Linked DNA regions of Medicago truncatula. The protein of the gene in region 3 binds, or shares a complex with, the protein of the main gene of each other region. Links are inferred from orthologs where the notes say so. Each region holds a gene or a part of one and is shown on either strand. Other genes may lie near its edges. The genes, in order: signal recognition particle 54 kDa protein, chloroplastic; inner membrane protein PPF-1, chloroplastic; signal recognition particle 43 kDa protein, chloroplastic.

Region 1 (7,659 bases), on a different chromosome or scaffold from region 3:
CGTAATGTTGAAAATTCTGGTATAGCGGGTAACTATTGGTTAAGACGAGAACCAATGTAAGGTAGCATTGTCTGAAAGTAAAATACAAAATAAAAACATCTCATGAAAGCTAAGATAAAACAAGCAAACCTCTTTGACACTCAAAGCTGCTCCACCTCTTGAATCACCATCTAGCTTTGTCAAGATGGCACCAGTTATTCCAATCTCAAGATTGAAAGTAGTCACCAAAGCTGTTCAATCAAAAACAAAACAGTGAAGTCGATTTTGGGATGGTTTTGGCTGTCAGAGTATAATAACCAACATCAGGAGCATAATTATACAAAAACCTAACTAAAATATGGTTTTTTGGTTTCTAAAGGTATCACTTGCGAGCAAATGTAAAGACCAACTCATTCGAGGATCTGGAGCGCATTCAAGAGTTGCCTCTCCCAAAAGGTGAATTTCTGTACGCATAAGTCAGGGATTGAACCCTTGACCACATACTTAAGTTGCTTCCCCTCGGATTACACCAATTTGGTAGTAAAATATAATAATATATGTTTAATAATATGCCAGCCATTAATTTAGAATCAGTTCATAAATATAAATAATTTATTTTTATAGAAAAATATTTTCTTTTTAATGTAAGAGTTGATACTTTAAACGTCACTTTTGAATACCTGCTGCTTCTTGCCCTGTCATAGCATCCACAACTAACAAGACTTCTGTTGGATTCAGTACCCGTTTCACATCTTTTAACTCATCCATCATTGCTTTGTCTATCTGTTTCATAAGAAATAACAACCTTGATGAGCATAAAAGAATTTATTCAAACATTAAAAAAATCATGAAATAATTATTCATTGTAACATTTTCAGTCATATAAAGAATTACCTGCAGCCTACCAGCAGTGTCAACAATAACCACATCAATTTTCTTCTTTTTGGCCTCTTCAAAACCTTGTTTAGCAATGTCTGATGGTTTAACATCGGTACCTGCTGTATATACAGGGACGTCCACCTGATACAAGCTATAACTAATTATAATCATCTAACTAGATGCAAATAGAGAGAATAAAGGTTAAGAGATGAGTCAAACAATGCTAATTGGATCTTGATGTTAGATGCCTGAATCCAATTTGTTAAAAAATAAGAATGCTCGCAAAATTTCTCGTGTTTCCTTCATAATTTTTATCCAGACAGATCATTAAAATCAGTGGAAGATGCTAAAGCAGCACCTATCAAGGCTAGCATAATTCCAGTAGCCCAGGAAACACATCACTTCTAATATACTACAATGCACATTCTTCATGGTTTCATGCAACAAAAAACTATATTTAATTGAATTAAAATTACATGACTGACTATATTTAAATGTGGTGTATGTATCATTAAAGAAATTGAAACTTGTTAACAACTTCAATGAAACAAAAATCTGGTACCTGTTTACCCAAGATAGTAAGCTGGTCGATAGCAGCAGGTCTATAAACATCCCCGGCAACTAGCATGCAACTCTTCCCCTGAGATCAGATGAATATGAACGTTTCAATAAGGCGAAGAAGGAACCAAAAAAAGTATTAGAAGGTGATGAAGGAGATTGGAAATACACCTGTTTCTTGAAATAATTTGCTAACTTTGCACACACGGTTGTCTTCCCAACTCCCTGGAGTCCAGCCAATAAAATGACAGTGGGCCCAGTTTTGGCAAAAGTCAATTCCGAGACCTCTCCACCCATCAATTGTACAAGTTCATCATGAACAATCTGCAAAACCCAACAATCAACACCCATTTTGTTCTTGTATGGAACTTCAGTATTCAAAAAATAAATCTAGTTGATGTTATTTTATTTCATGCAAACAAGTTCTCTCACTTGCACAATGTTATAAAGAAAAACCACAAATATACAGTCATTTGTGGCGACTTGTCCACTTTCTACAACAGTGAACAGTATTTAGTTGTTACAACACAGCATTTTCCACAATGAGTTGAGACCTCTCCATTTCCAAAAGAGGAAATGGAGTGATCCATTACAGTAGTTTTGAATATATTATATCATATAAATGTGTGTGTATATCACATGTTCTAGAAATGGGTGCATATGTAGACATAAAACTATAGCAACGGAACTCTCCATCCACAGCGTAGAATTTAAGAATATCCAATTTTACTCTTTCCTAAAAAAACAAGAACAAAATCAGTTGAATTTAAATGCAATTTTAAGAGTATTACATAAAACATAACACAATTGAAATGAATTGACCTTAACCAATTGTTGATCGGGTTTGACTCCTCGAGTGACTCCAACACCCACAGCCTGATCAGTAACAGATTGCACAAACCTTCTTACAACAGGAAGACTTACATCAGCTTCTAAAAGAGCTCTCCTAATATCTCGCATAGGCTCCACAATATTGTCTTTGGTCAAAACCTCTGCACAAACCAAGTGAAATTAAAATCCACTAATTGTATCGTCGACACATTATATTGAAGACATATTTGGGTGTCCAACAATACCAATACATGTAATTAAATTCAATTACTTATAAATTGATTAATGATCATTAGTATCGTCTCCGTGTGAGAGTGGAAGTTGCAAAGTAAGTAATTATAGTTGAATTGAAAAAGAGAAAGGAAGGAAAAACCTTCTCCTTTGAGTTTGTTCCAGGCAGATTCAAGACCAGTAGTTAACTGACCAAACATTTCAGCTCTGACCACAACTGGACGAATCATATCCATTCTTCTCATAGTTACGCTTTTCGACTGAACAAAACCCCATATCTCTTTCTGAAACCAAACCAAACCAAATTAGTATCTTATCTATCAATGAATGGAAGAGTAACCAATCAGAAGAATAGTAGATGACGTGGCATGCTTACCGCGAAAGAATTCCTATAAGAAAGGGAAGAACAAAGCTTGCTCGAAGAAGAGGCGGTGGTTCGGTGGTGAGAGAGTGGCGTGGACAAATGGCGGGACGCTAGTACTGCTTCCATCTCCACCAACTGAACTCAGTACTACTTGATGCTATCTGTGTTTGTGTTTTATCCACAACTGCCAAACTGGACTATTATCAACTGCCGTAAATTAAGGGATGCATGTTAATTAATCTAATTTACTACTTTTTAATATCAACAAAAATTTCTTCAAAAAAAATATATCAACAATTTTTTTTATTTTTTTATTTTACAAACTGTCATTTCTTATTGTTTTTACATAAAATTGGTTTATGGGAATACAAAAATGATATTAAAAAAAGAGAAGATTATATTTGATTAGCTCATGCTGACTTAGTATGTCTTAAGACACAAATTCAGGTGTTAAAAAAAGAAATTCAAAAAGAAGATTTATATTAAAAAGATAAATTTTTAAAATTTAATTTCTTAATATATGTATGTTTTAAAAACATAGTTAGCATTTTCTTATTTATTTTTCGATTCTAGATTTTAGCGGTAAAACTCACACACACTAATTACATATAATTTCTCTAAAAAACGGAGGTTAACACCTAAAAAACTAAATACATAGTATTGGAAAACCGAGGGTTACAACCTACGCCCTAACTCAACATATCAAATGTAGACCCAATTTTTATAGTTTAAGTCGTGCTTGCCGGACTTCTTTTATTTCAGACTACTAAACACAAATTGAAAGGGAGTATATAAATAAATTGAAGAATAACATGTCATTAATTGTTCATATGATATAATCAATATAAATCTATTGTTTTTATTTTTTATTTTTTACAGAAGAATAGTAGTGAAGATATTGAAGTATTGCTAATGCTAATCTGCATATTAGCATTATCAAAAAGGACGTCACTATATGCATCTGGGAGAGATTGATATTTTAAGTGTTGCTGAATGCTGATGCAGCTATATACATATTAGTATTGCTTATACTATAATGCAGTTTATATAGACATTCTGGTTCCGGGTATATTGGTGTTTGAAATGTGGCTGATGCAATTGTTGCATCTTTGTATTTACTTGATTATAATTGTCTGTATCAGTTTAAGTATAATTTTTGTTTCAATTTACCCAGATTTGGCATCCTCATGGTGTTTTCTCCAACTTCATATCGCTATTTTTAAAGGGAGTGACAACACTGCTGCCCTACAAGGATAAACATGACTTCAAAATTAATCTAAGCAGTTTTCCACTACTTACAATAATACATTGAAACAAAGGTAACAGAAAGTAGCAATTCTCCAAATTCATCAAATTCTATAATACAGGAACCCAAAAAACAAATGTTAGAAGTCTGCATGGTTAATGAAACAGAATGAAGGACGTGGTTAAGAATCTCTCCCGAAAACATAACACAACAACACACAACAAATCAGTACTAGACATTTCCAAAATGTGGCAACGCACACAGATCTCTTTACACAACTTGTCATCCCATCCATTCCATTCCCTTCTCGGAAGGACGTTATGCAACGACTCCACTACGACGACATCAGCAATCATGCAACTCGCATATGCGCAAAGATTATTTGAGTACCATTTTTCTTGTCATCCATCCCATTCCCCCAGACAGCAAGATAGAAAAAACATACACCTTTACATGTTCAACGCCAAGCTTCAGCCAACTCGGATCTTGAATTTATTCGTCCAATAAGAGCAATTCCCCTGTTCTTCTCCACCGATCCTGCTGAACACTTGTCTGTATCAGAAGTATTCAACTGAAGGCTTTTGCAATTTTTTGTTTGATCCCCAATTGCCATAGAGCAAATTTGAGAGACAACGCCGCAAGGACAACTGTCAACCAGCAACCTATTTCCACTAGGAATAAAATTTTCGGTAGATGTTTGCAGACTTTTGGATCCACTCTCAGTTTCACAGTCATCTTTAAAAAGATGTGTGGGGCTTTGTTGTGAAGGCTCGGCGGTGACAAAAACTGTGTCCTCGTCGCTGTAATCATTTCCGTATTCACTTTCATCCTTGAAAAGCAACGGTGAATCGCTCTGATGCCCGTCGTCATCAAAAGAATTTAGGTTTGAAGAGGGATTTGATTTTGTGATTGACTCCTCTCTTTCTTTCAGTGTCATTGCTACTAGAGTCTTGAGGAAATTCATGACTTGTACAGCATACATCAGAGCAGTCAAAGGATCTACCATCTGCAAGAGATGTGTAAGAAATGATGTTATTGTCGTAAAGATTAATCATAACCTCAATCCAATACTATAATTTTGCTAAACATAAAAGAAATGCTGTTATTGAAACATGAATCAACCTCGATCTTTGACTGATACTAAAACTTTGCACAACAAACTTGAATAGATTCAAGAATACCAGAAACTGCAGCCAAATTCATAGCACTAATCCGAATAATTTATCAATATTCATCAGAATAAAAACAATAATCATATATTTAATCACAAAAAGAATAATAATTTTCGTAGCTTCATAAAGAATCTGTAGATATGAACATGCCATTCCAAAGGAACATTCAACCATCCAAAGGATGTGTATTGTTCCACAATGAGCATGAGATGCAGAATAATAAACCTAGACTGCACATCTAGGGACAAGTACTACTCTGATTGGGGTTTGAGATCTATGAAGAAAAGAAAATCTCAATATTATAATTATGCTGAAAAGGTATGTCAAACTCAAATGTTCACACTGATGGCTGTATTTTTATGGATAAAACATAACCAAACGACAAAACAAGATAACATTATTCTCTACTAGGTTAAGATAATCAAACATTGGCTAAGATGCCTAAAGTACAAAGTCTCAAATAAAATTAAAAAACCGGAATTTCAAAAATTAAAATCCTTAAACTACTTTGCATTTTACATTAGTATGCTTCCCCTGCCCTTTAAAAGATCTCCAAAAGTCTATTTAAGGATATGGCCATGTAAATCAATTCTCAGAAAAAATGTTTGATTTATTTAATAGAAGACAGTTGATTAGTTAAACTAACCACATAGAAGTAAGGATATAACCACAACAAAATGTCTTTGAAGTTCAATCGCAAAAAAAAAGGGGACTAAGAGCAAAACCTTCTACTGAATATAAAAGGGAACATGATTTTGGCTTACGTGAGTCATGTTTGGTGCAAAAACCATTGCAATATTACGTGCGTTCATCTTGTTCAAATGTTCCATCTGAGCAACGTCTGCCATTAGGTTTACTGCCCAATCTAGGAGGGCGGATTCTGTTGCAGGAAGAAGCCTCACAAGCTGAGCACATTCTTCTTCTGTTTGGGACTGCATCACCTGCTCTGGCGAAAGAGGGTCCAGTATACCAGTTGGAAGTTCTCTGAACCAAGCCTACAGAGTTTCTCAAGTATATCAAAAATTAATGAAATAATCCCTTTCAATATAGCTACCTAGACAACTTCGTATGCAATTACCATATTTCCCTACAGTAACTAAAAAAGGAAAACAATTAACATTAGTACATTAAAATTAGGGTTAAATATATTTTTAATTCATATAATAAATTAATAATTATTTTGAATTTCGACTTTAGTCCTTGTGCCAGCATTTAATCTCTACGAATTACAAAATCACACATTTTTAGTCCCTAAAGAGGGCGTAAAAGTATGCAGTTTTGTAATTTGTGGGGAATGAAAACTGGATATAAGGGCTAAAAGCATATTTAACAATTTAAATTATCTAGACAACGTTCAAATAGACGATAGGACCAAATCCCAACAACCTAAGAGCCTAGTTCCATATAAATCTCTAACATTTAAAAGAGGAAAGAGGGATAAAGATTTTGAAAGAATTTGTTTTAGTAATACCTTTATAAGACCTGCCAAGCAATGCACGTCAATACCATTTGGTACCACTCCTCTGTTCAATTGTTCCCTCACAAACTCCTCTTGACTATTTTCAGCATTAATTCTGAAGATTCCTTCGGCCTGGGTGTATGCATTTAATAGTTCAATTTCAAGGTTCAGGTCTATTGAAACTAAACAACAGATCATACAAAAGGTTTCCGGAATGTATTATTAGTTCAAATACCTGCAGGCCTCCTTGTGCATACAGATGCCTTTGCATTAACAGCAGTATTGTAGGTACACTATTTCCTCTGGCATCAAAAGAAAGCTGCATAGATTCTGTTGAAACACCAAAAACACTTGTGCTGTGGACAACAATTGAAAATATACCAACAGTCAAAACAATGATATAATTCAGGACGCATTCATCAAACATGTATTATAGGTGGGTAAATAAGAGAGAATACTGCCAAAAAAATAGATGAGCAGATAGAGAGGCTTTGAACCAAGTGTGTAAATGATATTTTGTTTATTTGTATCAAAGATAGCTATACTGATAAATGTATAAAATAACATCACTTTATTTATTAATGTGTCATTTCAGTTCAAAGAAATAATGCATCATTTTATGATAATAAATCCAACACCAGTGATGAAGGGTCCCAAATTTCAAATAAAACAAAACTGACAACATAATCAACAAGGAATAAAAGGTATATTTGACCTGATTAGCAGAGATGGAAGAAAGCATCTATACTACTAATGATTTTTACTAGTTGTAAATTACACTGTACCAACTTCAAAAGACTAATTGTCAAATAGACATCACTTTGTTTATTAATATTATTATGTGTCCTTTCAGTTGCAAGAAATAATCAATTATCTTCCAATAATAAACCCAAAACCTTGATGAAGTGCCCCAAATTTCAAATAAAACAAAACTGACCAT
Region 2 (7,035 bases), about 5.2 Mb from region 3:
GAGTGTATTTAGGCTTATTTATGATATAAACATTTGTGCAAGTGCTTGGAAAAACTTACTAAAATACTTGATGATATGTTCATTTGCATTCAACTTATTTTCATAAGCTTTTATGGATAGGCTATTAGAGAACTTCATTTTGTAATGAAACAACTCAAAAAGAACTGTAGTGCAATTAACTCTCATTTCCTCTTTGATGGTAGAAACAATTTGAAAAAAAAAAAAGGGCAGCTCGGTGCACTAAAGCTCCCACATACACAGGTCCAAGAAGGGGTCTCGCCATTTTGGTGTATCCTACGCAGTCTTCCCCTGTTTTTTACACAAGAGGCTCTTTCTAGAACTTGAACCCGTGACCTTTCAGTCACGTGACAACAACTTTAGCGTTGCATCAAGGCTCTCCCTTGGTAGAAACAATTTGTATATAAATTTTAATACGACAAGTGCTTGTGAATTAATGTTTAATTAAGCAGTCGACCTAAATGCTCATTTAGTCCCTATTGGCACATTCTGTGGTGAACAGACCATACCGGCATACCCCCACCCCCAAAATGCTAAATTCCAAACTACTAAAAGAATCTGCATCACTAAATGTGCTGCATGTTATATACTATTTAATCCAACTGGCACCCATGCTGCATAAACCATGTCTCGTATTTACTGAAATCTAAGACTAACTGGGACAATAGTGCATATGCATAACTTATAAAAAGGGACCTTGCATATATTTTCACAAGCAGAGCCTACACAAATTGCTACATTACTAACTATGAAAAGAATTTTTATCAGCAATTGTATTGTACGACATACAATTTAGAATTTTATTGTTTCAGGAACCATGACTGGGAATAAGCTCCAAAAAAAATTATTGTTAAGAGTAAATAGTGTGATGTCTGAAAATCATAGTGTTTGTGTCACAGACTCACAAGTACAAGGAAAAAGAAATAGCCAAATGCAAAAAAATTATTTCGCTTATGAGCAAAGGATAACTTACCACAAATGGAAAAAGCCAAGAAATTCCAGATCCACTTTGTCTAGCAGCAATGCTAGTGGGACCACCGAGAGAAGGGATCCATAAGAAACCTTCTGTTAACAGTCCCTTCAAATTAAAAGTTTTCAATAATTAGCAAAAATCATGTAGTTGTAATTCGTCTATCAAAATCTAAAATTATAATAGTTTATATACCATTAATTACCTCATTTGCCACATTAGATAAAGCTTGGTATAGACCAATCCAGACGGGAATAGTAGCCAAAGTCGGTAAACAACCTATAAAAAATGATAAAATTTCCTTCTATTAAGTACAGCCCAGTTATGATATTGCAAATATTTTGACATCATATTATCACATGTCAAAGCATTATTATACAGAATCAGAGCTGAGAAGAAAATGATAAAGGCAATAGTAAGATATAAGTGTACCTGCCAATGGGTTAACCCCAGCTTGGGTATATAGCCTTGAAGTCTCAAGTTGTATTCTTTCCTTGAAATGAGGGCAATGAAATAAGTAGTTAGAAACAACCATGCTATCATTTTAAGGTACAAAATCAATATTTACTTAAGATTAAATTGGATGCTTAATAAGTAACAAACAGCAACACCCCTCACCTGATTACCAGCATATCTTTGTTGAATGGCCTTAATTTTAGGTTGAAGGTTTTGCATAGCTAGTGTTGATTCAACCTACATGTATTAAATAAAGTCAGAACTTCATTTCATATAACTGAAAGAAAAATCCATTTATGGTTTTTTTTTTTTCCAACTGGCAATCCATTTATGGTTTGTTTGTAATGTTTCAAACGAGGTTATCATAATTTCATGGTTTCAGTAAATTTGCCTATAGAAATTGTTGTAATTTGTACTAACCTGTTGCTTTGTCAAAGGAAGCGTAGCCGCCTTAACAATAAGAGTGAGCAATATGATAGCAAATCCATACGAATAAGGCACATGCACGGCAGACAAACCATCCTTTAATATCTGAGTAACAACAAGCAAAACATTTCCTGTTATAAAATGCAATCCTCCAATTTTATTACAGGAACGTGGAACATTTGTAGGTAGATTTTTTTTCCTTTTTATGGCTATTTTACATGATAACTCTAAAGCAAAAGGGTAAGGGCCAAGTCCATTGAAACTAGAAAACCATTCGAAACAAATAGCATTACTCTTTCCATTTATACGTATACATTTCCATATAACCTAAAAAAAATACACAAGTTTAACTTGTTCAATCAAATTAACAGAAAAAGTAAACAGTAAGTTAGTAACACTGAACACTTTCCCTGCAACATATCATTTCAGGATAAGAAAAAACGGTTCAATCTTCTAAAAAAACTCAACAACCTCAATAATACAAGTTTCATGAATCAAAGAGCAACAAATCCTTTTATAGTAAGGTCATGTTTGGATTGACTTATTTGAGCTTATTTATTGGTATAATCACTTATGAGACTGTTTGGAAGATCTCATAGAAACAAATTATTACATCTCCCAAACTGTTTTCAACTTATTTTCATAAGTTCGGTTTGATTTTATTTCATATATTTTCTTTGGAATGAATTATAAACAAAAATTAGTTAAATTACGAATATTAAGAAAGATAATTGATAAAATTAAAAAGCAGAAGTTGTGAAGATTACCTTAAGAACAAACTCCATACCATCGGAGATGAAACCAAACCAACCTCCGTTCTTCTGCACAGTAACATCCGTGGAAGTGGAAGTAACCGCATCGGCCGTAACGGCGGCATCAGCAAGCGTATAAAGAAGGCCTTCAGCTCTGGCGAAGACACCGGCAACATCAATAGAATGAGTTAAGGATTGAATTGGAGGAATTTGGTGGAAACTGAAGTGAACTTTGGTGTATAGTCTGGTGCGGTTAGGGGAGAAGTTGCGGTGAAGTGAAGGAAGTGGAGTTCCGATGAATGATGGAGATGAAATCAGTGTCTTCGCCATGGATGATGAGAAGGGTGATAGAGAGAGGCTTGAAGGGCGAAGGCTTCAGCTTCTCGTCACAGAATAGAGAAAAGAGATGAGAGGATATTTTTTTGCTATTATCCGAATGAAATGCATTTTGTTTTGCGAGGTAGAGACAACTGCACGATATGGGTAGTGGAAGATTTTCAGCCAGCGACTGTGTGACACGTCATTACATATTATTACCGGTGGTTATTTGCTTCTTGCAATTTTTAGTCAAAAAAAATGTTATTTGCTCTTGCAATTTTTAGTCAAAAAAAAAAAAAATGGAAGGAAACGGTGTTCAATTAAAGAACGATGACTTCAATTTTAGATAATTTTTTATTTTAAAAATATTCACATACATAGAAAACATTACATTGTAAACTTGTGGCATAACATAAATCAAATTATGGAAAATAATAAAATCTCAACGAAAACAACTCCAGATAGTTTGTCACATTGTATTGAGCTACTCTAAATAAAAATTTAAATGTCAATCGCATAAGTGTTTGACTTATTCGTAACTAAATTAAATTTAAGTATATTGTGATGGCATAATGTTGATAACTCCTTCGCTCCGTCTTCACTCTGCTCTTTATATTATGCGTTGTCCAAATCAACTAAGGTCACGAAGACGTCAATCTTCTCTTTAAGCAACACCATCTCATTACCTACACAAAAAATTAAACAAATACTCATAAGAAAAACATACAAAGTGACTAATTATTTCAAGAATATAATTGAATGAAATAAATATCTTAAATATAAGTGGCAATCATCCTAACAACAATCAACATATTAACAAACAAGTGCGCTAAGATTAACGCAAGACGACAATAAACATGGTATGCAAGACTTGACTCGTGTAATCTAACAACATCTACTCCAACATTTTGATTAATTTTACTAAGTTAATGCAAGCCGAGAAGCCAGCATGTCGAAGAGGATAGTCTATTCACAATACATGTATCAGTAAGATGGTCAAAACGCCCCACGATGCTTGAAAAGTTTCAAATTACTTAATTTTATCTATATAAATTATGACAGTTATTGACTTGTTATGCAAGGAACCTGATGATAATCCTTCAATTTAGTCTGAATATTAGATAGCTAGATCATGAGTGGAAATTCATGTACTATGATCTTGTTCAAATGCATTTTTTTAGTATTAAAGAAACATGAATAAAGATCCAAGCAAAAAGGACAAGAAGATCGAGTTCATGCAATTCGCTAGGCGAGCAGAAAGCACACTCCCGACGATTGTCACTAAGATTGGAGTCTTGAAACGGGGCACCATTCAATGTGATGTATTCCAATTCTCATAGTGAATTCTGACAGATTAGTGACTCATGTGAATGAGCTGCTAAAGATTTCAAGGTAAAAAAATCACAATTCTCTTGCCGAGCATACAATTCGTCTAGCAAAATGTCACTTTCAAAAAACTAAATAAAGAGGAATCAGTCACATTGACATTGTTTGTCATTCTATCACTTTGGAAAAGGAGAGAAACGCAAGGATAATAGAGGAGCAAGTCTACAAGCAAGGCAGAGCATTACAACTTGAAGAATAAAGTGTTGACGCAACATCCTCTCTCGTTTCATCTCTTTGTTGTAAGTTACCATGACAATCTCTAACTAAAGCTCTCGTTGTTTTATGATTAGGTCTAGTTAATTACGATTTTAATGTAAATACTTGATATGACTAGTTAAATATAACTTTTGTTTCATTATATCAACGTTATTATTCTTGCACTTAAGGCTTTTCCTACGTGAAACTTTGAATACGATCTTTTGATTTAGTAAGTGCAAAACATAAACTTTTCTTTTGTCCAAGGACATGGTATAATAGCATTTGTATTGCGAGACATCGATCTAGGTTTACAATCACACACACTATCAAAACATATAGTGCTATTATATTGCGTAATTGAGCGAGACATCCAAAATTAAAGGATGGAATAGATCTCCCATTATTTACAAAATATCGAGATGTATGGTGAGCGATAGATAAAAGTATATCTAAAATACTACAAGTATATAACAATCAATAAAATACATTATACAATTAACTAACAAAACTTAAACCTAACACAACTCTCTCATATTGAAGTTTTCATCACTTGTTATTATGTTATCTATCAGCAAATTTTTACAAACTCTAGTCTTAAAATATTGAAAATAGTTTAACAGTTTGAATTTACCAAATCTCTTGTAGATCAATAATCTATATATAGTTTGGTACTGCAACTTGGCTTTATCAGTCCTCATGAAAAAAAATTCTTTTCAATCAAATGCGGTTTAATTAATTTAAATTTCTTTTTGGATTTCCAAATTATGATTGTGAAAAAAATTCTATTAATATTAATATTACAAAGATACAAAAAGTAAATGTCATACAAAAGTTAACATATAAAAAACTAATATTATGGAACAACAATGATCGATTATATTTGAAATAGTAAAAGAATATTAATCAAACCTATAAGCATTACCAAAAAATTTCCTTAAGGTATATATAGTGTGTTATAGACGAGCCCGTCAACAGTTCCACCAGAGCGATTTGGTTGAAAGTCCATGCATAGGAAGCGTCGATAAAACCATTTATGAGGGGATATAAATATGGACAGATGCTATCCAATTTTTCAAAAAAAAAATGGGGTAACATCTGCCTACCCTGATTTATTTTATTTTGTTTTAATGTGTATGAGTATATGGTTTTTATATTTTGCCACCTAAATAATATATATTCAACTACATTAAATAAATTTATTTGTCAAAAATTGGTAGAAACATGAAAGTTAAAATAATTATTGCTAACATGCCCCGATAACCATGTCATCTCTAGTAATTTAGTACTTCATCCGTTTTAAAATATAAACAAAATTCATTTTTTATGTTCATTTATTTAATGATGTATGTGGTCATATTATGAACCACATATATCATAACCACATACATCATTAAATGAATGAACCTAAAAAATAAATTTTGCTTATATTTTAAAACGGACCGGAGTAAAATCGTGAAGAAAAAGATAACATAAATTTTCTATCAAAAAATAATATAAAATTAATCCTATTGGAGCGTTATATAAAGCGCACGGTTGATAGCCAATGGCGCGGGAAAGCCAATCAAAGAAAAATAAAATATAAAGGCGGTACGAAAACTCAAACCAACTACAACGCGTGTCCTTTCAGAATTTTCTCGAACGTGCTAGACAATGCTAGAGAAATCCCACACCCTCAATTCAAATTTAGATCAAATCGTCACCGTCCAAATTACTCATCCAACGGCTAAAAACACTATACCGAACATTCCAGACATCAATCCTGTTCTATATTAACACAAAGCTTCTCTCCTCAACTCATTCAATTCAGTTTCAAAGAAAACAAAAAACAAAACTTCAATTCATTCTCTAGTACTCAAAACCCTAGTTTTTTCTATTCTCAACTCTACAAAAACCCTAGTTTTCATTCAGAAGGAAATTTCTTGAGAGATTATGGCTGGAAAAGGCGAAGGACCTGCAATTGGAATAGATTTGGGAACAACTTACTCATGTGTTGGTGTTTGGCAACATGATCGTGTTGAAATCATAGCAAATGATCAGGGTAATAGAACTACACCTTCTTATGTTGCTTTCACTGATACAGAACGTTTGATCGGTGATGCTGCTAAGAATCAGGTTGCTATGAACCCTACTAACACTGTTTTCGGTAAGTACTCTTAAAATCAACTTCTTAATCCTTTATTTTCTGAAGTTTTTATTCTGTTTTTAGAACATGCATGAGTTGAAATTTCTAACACTCTATTTCGTTCTTATTGTACTAAAAGTAGAAAAGTGAATTTTATTGTTGATCTTATTATTGTAAAATTGCTGATAACATGATAACATCAGAGCATGGGTTGAAATTTCCAGTAATTTGTTTTTATTTTTTTTTTATTTTTATAATAAATAATTAGTTTCAGAGTGTTTGCATATAAGCTAGAAACGAGAAATTTATTGTTAATAGTTGTAAAATTGTTGATAATAGTTTGTGCATTGATTATATAATTAGTTTGGTTATATGATTATGTTGAAGTG
Region 3 (6,800 bases):
ATAATTTGATCTCGAACCGAGTCTCGAACATTATTCATCTTAGATGAAGAAGTTATATTTAAATTTTGAGATAAATCCAAATTAACTGGTCTACGATAATCATCGCGATCAAGGGTTATGTCTTCATCCTCAAACCGACTGAAATCAACATCCATATCAGCATTCCTTCTAATAAAGTTGTGTCCATTGTTGCAATAACCACTTGAACCTGTGTCTTAATTGTGAATTTAGGCATGCGTCGTAGAATTGCAAATCTATTCCTCCATACACCAAAAGTTCTTTCTATTGTGCACCTTAAACTTGAGTGATAATAATTGAATACCTCATTATTGAAGACGATGAAATATTGAAACTTGAGTGCACCTTAAACATGTTTGCCCAACTGATGTTTGCAAACCGAAACACCAGAAGGAAGAGGCAGTCCAGTTAACATAAAAAAATCCTAGAAAGTCTAGAAAGCAATTACAGAGACAAACAAAACCAACCAGGCCCTTGGCCAAAAAACTACCCCCAACCGTAGCAGGTTAGCAGGCCAGGAACAGCAGCTGAAGCCGCAACCAAACCAGCCGCAAAACCATAAGAAACATGCTTTGAATGTCACAAAAAACATAAGAAATCATGGCATTACAAATATAGCTTATATATAACTAGTTAAAACTGAAATATAGAGTTTAAGGAGGATAAGTGAACAACAAATCCGAAGCAAAAAAACAACATAAGTGAACCAAAAATACGAGCATAATTATCACACAACATAAGCTTTCATTAAGGGATAGAAACATTACATAAGTTATTAGTACTTCATAAGAGTACTTCATAGTTACTAGCACTTCTTAGATTACTTCCTAATTGAAAGGCAAAACATAACAGTACTTCATAGTTACAGGTACTTCCTAGATTACTTCTTAATTTAAAGACAACGGAACATTACAACATTAAAGACTAAACATAACAGTACTTCATAGTTACTAGTACTTCCTAGATTACTTCTTAATTCATAGTACATCCTAGCTTAGATTGCTTCTTAACTCATAGTACTTCCTAGCTTACTTCCTAGTCACATAGGTTCCAAATTACATAGTACTTCCTATATTCAAGAAACCTCTTATCTATGAGGTGAAAAGAGTAACTAAAGTATGCACAAATCAATGACAGCAAAACACTAGTAAAAACTGAACCAAAATATTGGAGAACAAAGTCAAATAACCAAGCATTAATATCATATATGCATATATCAAGCAAACCTGATATGTCTTGATGAAGTTTCCTACATTAGATGGTTTTTTTATTAATTGTATATCATTCTTAAGGTTTACAATCAGTTGTCAACACTTTAAATTATATGTGCAGCGAAATATTTTGCTTCTTGTACACATGCTTTTATCACTGTTGTATATATGTGCAGTTTATTACCTTTGGATTGGAAGTGCTTATTACTTTTATAACAGAAACATCATAACACAAAAATGCACCAAAAACTAAACCATAATAATAGCAAAACTAAAGAAAAACTTAAAATTTATTTTCAAACTCCATCAATATCATTATCATTTTAAAAGCAAAACAAAGAAAAAAACAAAGAAGCAATCATAATTAAGTTTAAGGAAAACAAATAAAACAATATTTATTCATTCATTCATTTTATCTAACACATCAAATGCATTGTTATCATAACTGAATTAATGGATACAGGAGGATAATTCGAACTTACCTTGAGCTATCCAACACTGCTTCTATTTGGAACTTTGCTTAATTTCCTTTTCTTGCGTGCTTGAGAGAATGAAAAGGGCGAGAGATGAGGCAACATATATAAAAAGTTTTTAGGTAGGTTAACCGATTGATTTTGATCTGTAAAATTAAATATGATGAAAGAAATTAGAGTTTAATGAAGTCATGATATGGGTGAAAAAAACAGCTTTGTCTTCAATGTTGTTTGACAGGAGATTAGGATTCAGATAAGCAAGAAGTTATGATATAGGAGAAAAAACAGCTTTGTAAAATTAAGATAAACAACTTTTGAAAATTCAGATAAACATGAGTTATGATGTAAGGTGAGAAGTTAGTTGAGAATCAAGGGTAAAAAAGAGAAATTGGGGGAAAACAAACCTACGGTTGTGAAAATTGATTTTTAGAAGCTAGGAATTGCAGCTTCATTGAAAATCGATTCTGATGATGCAAACTTGCAGCGACGGCGGAAGGTTGAAGGAGAGCCAAACAACGTCAAAGCGCTTTTGAGGAAGACAGACGTGCGTTTCCCCTTTCCCACTAGGTAACCAAACATGTACTCAATAGACTAGAGTTATCGTGGTCAAAAAAGACTCATACTAACTATTCATATTATAATGATTTTCTACCTCCTTTTTTGTTTTCACTACTTCATGTGGGACTTCAATAAGTATCCATTTTAACACAAAAAGTTCCGCCCCATTCCTTTCAAATACACAGCAAAACATAAAAAAAAAACTTTTGTGGAACACAAAAGTTTGTCCGACGTGTGCAAATAAGTAGTTTTGACTCTTGCACTAAGCGCAAGTTTGATTTCACAATTAGATAAATAAGCCTCATAATATATCATTTCACTCGATGGTATGATTTATTGAACTTGGTGAAAACAAACATGTATATGGAAAAAGACTTGTTTTATTTGTGCACCATAAAATTGATCTATCCATTGAATAATTTATAGTTTGATTTTAGGGTTAATGGTGTTTTACCCTCCTGCAAAATATTTTTTTTTATTTACCCCCTGTAATTTTATTTTTTTTGGAATAACCCCTAATAGGTCATAAAAAAAAAAAATCTGCAAAAAAAAAATATTCGTTTTTTTTATGACCTATTAGGGGGTATTCAATTTTTTATTTACAGGGGATAAATAAAAAATAATTTACATGGAGGAAAACCAGAAATGACCTATATTATAGGGGGTAAAACACTTTTAACCCTTGATTTTAATAAGTTTTTGACCCCTTAAAATATACTACTTATCGATTTTAGTCCATAAAAAATTATTTTTTGTTTTTAGTCATTGAAAATATTTAAAAAATTATTTTTGTTCTTACTATTATTTTATATCCCTTCATATTTGTTCATTTTTAATCCCTTACACATTATTGATCAATTTCGACAAAATTACGTTGACTAAAAATAAAAATCATTTTTATAGGAACTAAAAAAGGTCAAATCTAAGGTGCACAAAGATGATAAGCCTTGCACAATGCATAATAATATTCCCATAATTGGATCAAAAGTATCGCCGTTAAATTAAATTTAATATAATAAGATTTATTAATCCAATCGTAGCGACAAGTCTTTTTTTTTTTTTTTTTAACAGAAAAATGAGACTTATTCATGGTGATAGAGTAATTTACTTGTATATGTTAGACAAAACCACTAAAAAATGTTATATTTGTAGTGATTATAAATATATTTAAACCTTCTATCTTTTGGCAATGAATGATAAAATAATAAAAATTAATAAATGAAACGTAAAATTTGAAGAAAAAATGTTACACAAAAACACAATTTTTTTTTGTTACACACAAAAACACTATATATGTTTATACAAGATTAAATAAGTTGCTCAAAAAATAAAAGATTAAATAAGTTTTTTTTTATAATTTCTAATATTGTTTCTATTGTTGTAGATTGTTCCTTCTGTTGTCGTAGAATGTTCCTATTTTAATGAGATTTAATTTAACTAATTTAAACAATATTACAAAAATGATAAAATAGATTAAATGAAAGATAGGAGTAGAAGAAAAAAACTAGCCTAAAAGAATGTATCTCCTTTATATATTGATATAGATTTTTAATTAAAAATTTAAATAATAGGAAATTACGTTTTGGTCTCAAATTTTTCTTTGATTTTTGGTTCCCAAAAGTTTTGCTTCACCGTTTTTGGTCTTTGCTTTTAAATCAAGTCATGTGTATCATTTAAAATTTTATACTTTTTCTGTAATCATGTTTTGTACATTATAGAATCCTCTCTTGCAAAATTTTTTTATTTTTTTTTAACAAGGATGAATTTTTATGTTTTTGACACTTAAAAATTTATATTTAATTTATGTTTTATTATAAAAAATGGAGACATTATAGTAATACTAAAAATATTCTTATTATCCTTGCCAATATAATTACCCGTTGTGACGTGACATAACCTTTTTGTCCACGTGTATAGTTAACTGCCATATCATAGGGTGAAAATCAAGGGGTTTTTTGAAATTTTGCAAAATTGATGGTGTTTTTTTTTTACGAAAGCTCGCAATTTTTTAGGGTAATTGACTATTTACTCAATTTACAATCTATAGTAGATTTCTTGGACTCCACTCATACCAGATTTTGGTGGTATAGGGAAAACATACAATTTGGGCCCAAACTAATAAGTATAAAACAAAAATTGAATTCCTAAATGTAAAATAATTTGCTTGAAGATGATAGTCTTATTACGTTATAAGAATATACTAAATTTTGTATATTTTACTGTAGAAAATAATCAATACTCTCAATTATACGTAATATAAAATTAAAAAAATTAAATTGATCAATATATCACATTTAAGTTTATCAATTTCATACAAATGCAATCATGATTTTATTTGTTTAGTGAGGAAACAAAACTAGTGTCCAAGGTTGTGGCTAGTTTTGTTTTTTAAGTAGTTTAATGGCTAAAATTCATCTTAAAAAAAGATTAACAAGTAAAATAAAATACAGATCCAACATATAAAAATATATGTTCCTACCAACTAAGTGAGCTATGCTCATGCGAGTGGCTAGTGTTTTTATCCTTTGCCAAAAGAGCAAAATGAAGTGCAAAAAACAAAGGACAAAATAAAATCATCCAATCCAATTGAAAGCACGAAGTGGATATGGTTCCTTATCTAGTCAATACCCCAAATCCCCTTCCACATGTTGATTCAATTCAAACACAACAACCATGGAAGCTTTGTTCCTCACGAAACCAATTTCTCACTTCAAACCCAAACACTCTCTATCTCCCAAACACCCATTTGAATTTCACCACCACCACCACCACCACCAATCTCTCACTCTCCGCCACAAACCCACCAAACTTCCCACCGTCACCACCGCAACTCAAAACCACCAACAACAACAAGAACAAGAACAAACAACACCCAAAACCATCGAAGATGAAGAACCCTACGGCGAAGTCAAAAAAATTATCGGAAGCAAAGCCTTGGAAGATTCCACCGGCATGGAATATCTCATCGAATGGGAAGATGGCCATCAACCTTCCTGGGTCCCCGCCGACTTCATAGCAAAAGACGTCGTCGCTGAATACGAAACTCCCTGGTGGACCGCCGCTAGAAAATCCGACGAAAATGCCCTCAAAACAATCCTTGAAGCCGACGATTACCGCGACGTAAATGCAGTAGACTCTGATGGTAGAACAGCACTTCTATTTGTAGCTGGCCTCGGCTCAGAGCCATGCGTTAGGCTCTTAGCCGAAGCTGGCGCCAATTTAGACCACCGCGATAATAGCGGTGGTCTATCCGCGCTGCACATGGCAGCCGGATATGTAAGACCTGGAGTAGCAAAACTACTCTTGGAACTCGGTGCTGATCCGGAAATTAGCGACGATCGTGGAAGAACAGCGTTGGATTTAGCGAGGGAGTTGTTAAAAGCGACGCCAAAGGGGAACCCAATGCAATTCGGAAGAAGAATGGGGTTAGAAGGTGTGGTTAGGGTTTTAGAAGGTGCAGTGTTTGAATATGCTGAAGTAGAGGAGATTATGGAGAAGAGAGGGAAAGGTGAGAATTTGGAGTATTTGGTGAAATGGAAAGATGGAAGTGCTAATGAGTGGATTAAGGGGAGGTTTGTGGCGGAGGATTTGGTGAGGGATTATGAAGCTGGGCTTGAATATGCGGTGGCGGAAGCGGTGGTTGGTCGGAGAGTTGGTGATGATGGGAAGTATGAGTTTTTGGTGAAATGGGTTGATTTGGATGAACCCACTTGGGAGCCCGAGGAGAATGTTGATTCTGAGCTTGTTAAAGTGTTTGATTTGAGTAATAATCAAGCTCAGCCTGGTAATGATAATGGGGTTTCTACGGTTGATTTGAGTCAGAATAGTTCAAATATTGTTAGTGCATGATAATTGTTTTGTTTCATAAATCAAATCCATTACAAATTTTTGCTTGTTACAATTTACATTATGAGTCATTTTTTAGCAATACTCCCAATTAGTAAGAAAGTTTGAAACAGACGCTTAGACTCTATTTGACGGTCCAACGACTAGTTTATAACGGATAATTTGTGTATAAAGTTCATATGATTAAAGTAGAATTATTTGGTGAGTACAAATTTCTATTGCATATGAGTGATTAGAAATACTCCAACTATTAGTAAGTAATGCTTCCAACCAGTAAGAAGCTTTGAAACAAGTCGCGGCAAACACCACTTATGCTGTATTTGACGATCATAGTTACGTCCGAAATCAAAGAAGAAGTTGCTATCTGTCCCGCCTTATTTGCTTACATGTTAATGTACACGTACGAGGCTGGCAAACCAAGAGGTTCTAATTGAGCAGAATAATGTAAATGACACTCTAGATGCTTTATTTATATGCAAGAGACATAGTTTCGAATGCAATGAGTAACGGCAAGGAATACATAGGGCATCCTTTATATGCTTATCTCCAGCCGATTGTCACAAAAACAATGCATCCCACTAAATATCAATTGAGGCTTAGACAAAGGAGTTATGAAGGATATGCATAGCGAGTAACTCAATAGTTAGAGTTTCATTTCTTGAACACTTTTACTAAAAAGAAGCATTTCATGCTT

The links.
Region 1: the proteins of signal recognition particle 43 kDa protein, chloroplastic (region 3) and signal recognition particle 54 kDa protein, chloroplastic are in contact, whole or in part, in an NMR structure (PDB 2HUG), measured with the Arabidopsis thaliana proteins. The link is inferred for Medicago truncatula from reciprocal best matches to the Arabidopsis thaliana genes CAO and CPSRP54. Residues at the interface, in NP_566101.1 of Arabidopsis thaliana: Glu268, Tyr269, Ala270, Glu271, Val272, Lys283, Val289, Trp291, Glu298, Trp299, Val300, Lys301, His304, Val305, Ala306, Val309; in NP_196014.1 of Arabidopsis thaliana: Pro532, Gly533, Thr534, Ala535, Arg536, Arg537, Arg539, Lys540, Ala541, Asp542, Ser543.
Region 2: the proteins of signal recognition particle 43 kDa protein, chloroplastic (region 3) and inner membrane protein PPF-1, chloroplastic are in contact, whole or in part, in a crystal structure (PDB 5E4W), measured with the Arabidopsis thaliana proteins. The link is inferred for Medicago truncatula from reciprocal best matches to the Arabidopsis thaliana genes CAO and ALB3. Residues at the interface, in NP_566101.1 of Arabidopsis thaliana: Asp273, Glu274, Asp312, Tyr313, Gly316, Leu317, Glu318, Tyr319, Ala320, Val321, Ala322, Trp343, Asp345, Met346, Thr350, Glu352, Asn356, Asp358; in NP_180446.1 of Arabidopsis thaliana: Lys454, Arg455, Ser456, Lys457, Arg458, Lys459, Arg460, Thr461.

Annotation. Positions count from the first base shown.
Region 1 is NC_053048.1:49,543,293-49,550,951, forward strand, and holds the start of signal recognition particle 54 kDa protein, chloroplastic, read right to left. Parts: upstream 3,028-7,659; 5' UTR 2,969-3,027; coding exon 2,855-2,968; intron 2,763-2,854; coding exon 2,621-2,762; intron 2,409-2,620; coding exon 2,239-2,408; intron 1,741-2,238; coding exon 1,588-1,740; intron 1,499-1,587; coding exon 1,421-1,498; intron 1,000-1,420; coding exon 874-999; intron 763-873; coding exon 660-762; intron 231-659; coding exon 130-230; intron 1-129. Other genes in the region: rho GTPase-activating protein 5, read right to left, coding at 4,546-5,094, 6,025-6,255, 6,732-6,851, 6,955-7,075.
Region 2 is NC_053045.1:31,730,526-31,737,560, forward strand, and holds the start of inner membrane protein PPF-1, chloroplastic, read right to left. Parts: upstream 3,080-7,035; 5' UTR 2,953-3,079; coding exon 2,638-2,952; intron 1,976-2,637; coding exon 1,865-1,975; intron 1,682-1,864; coding exon 1,607-1,681; intron 1,482-1,606; coding exon 1,421-1,481; intron 1,268-1,420; coding exon 1,194-1,267; intron 1,097-1,193; coding exon 992-1,096; intron 1-991. Other genes in the region: heat shock cognate 70 kDa protein 2, read left to right, coding at 6,454-6,667. UniProt on the Arabidopsis thaliana protein: Required for the insertion of some light harvesting chlorophyll-binding proteins (LHCP) into the chloroplast thylakoid membrane.
Region 3 is NC_053045.1:36,927,210-36,934,009, forward strand, and holds signal recognition particle 43 kDa protein, chloroplastic, read left to right. Parts: upstream 1-4,772; 5' UTR 4,773-4,933; coding exon 4,934-6,109; 3' UTR 6,110-6,218; downstream 6,219-6,800.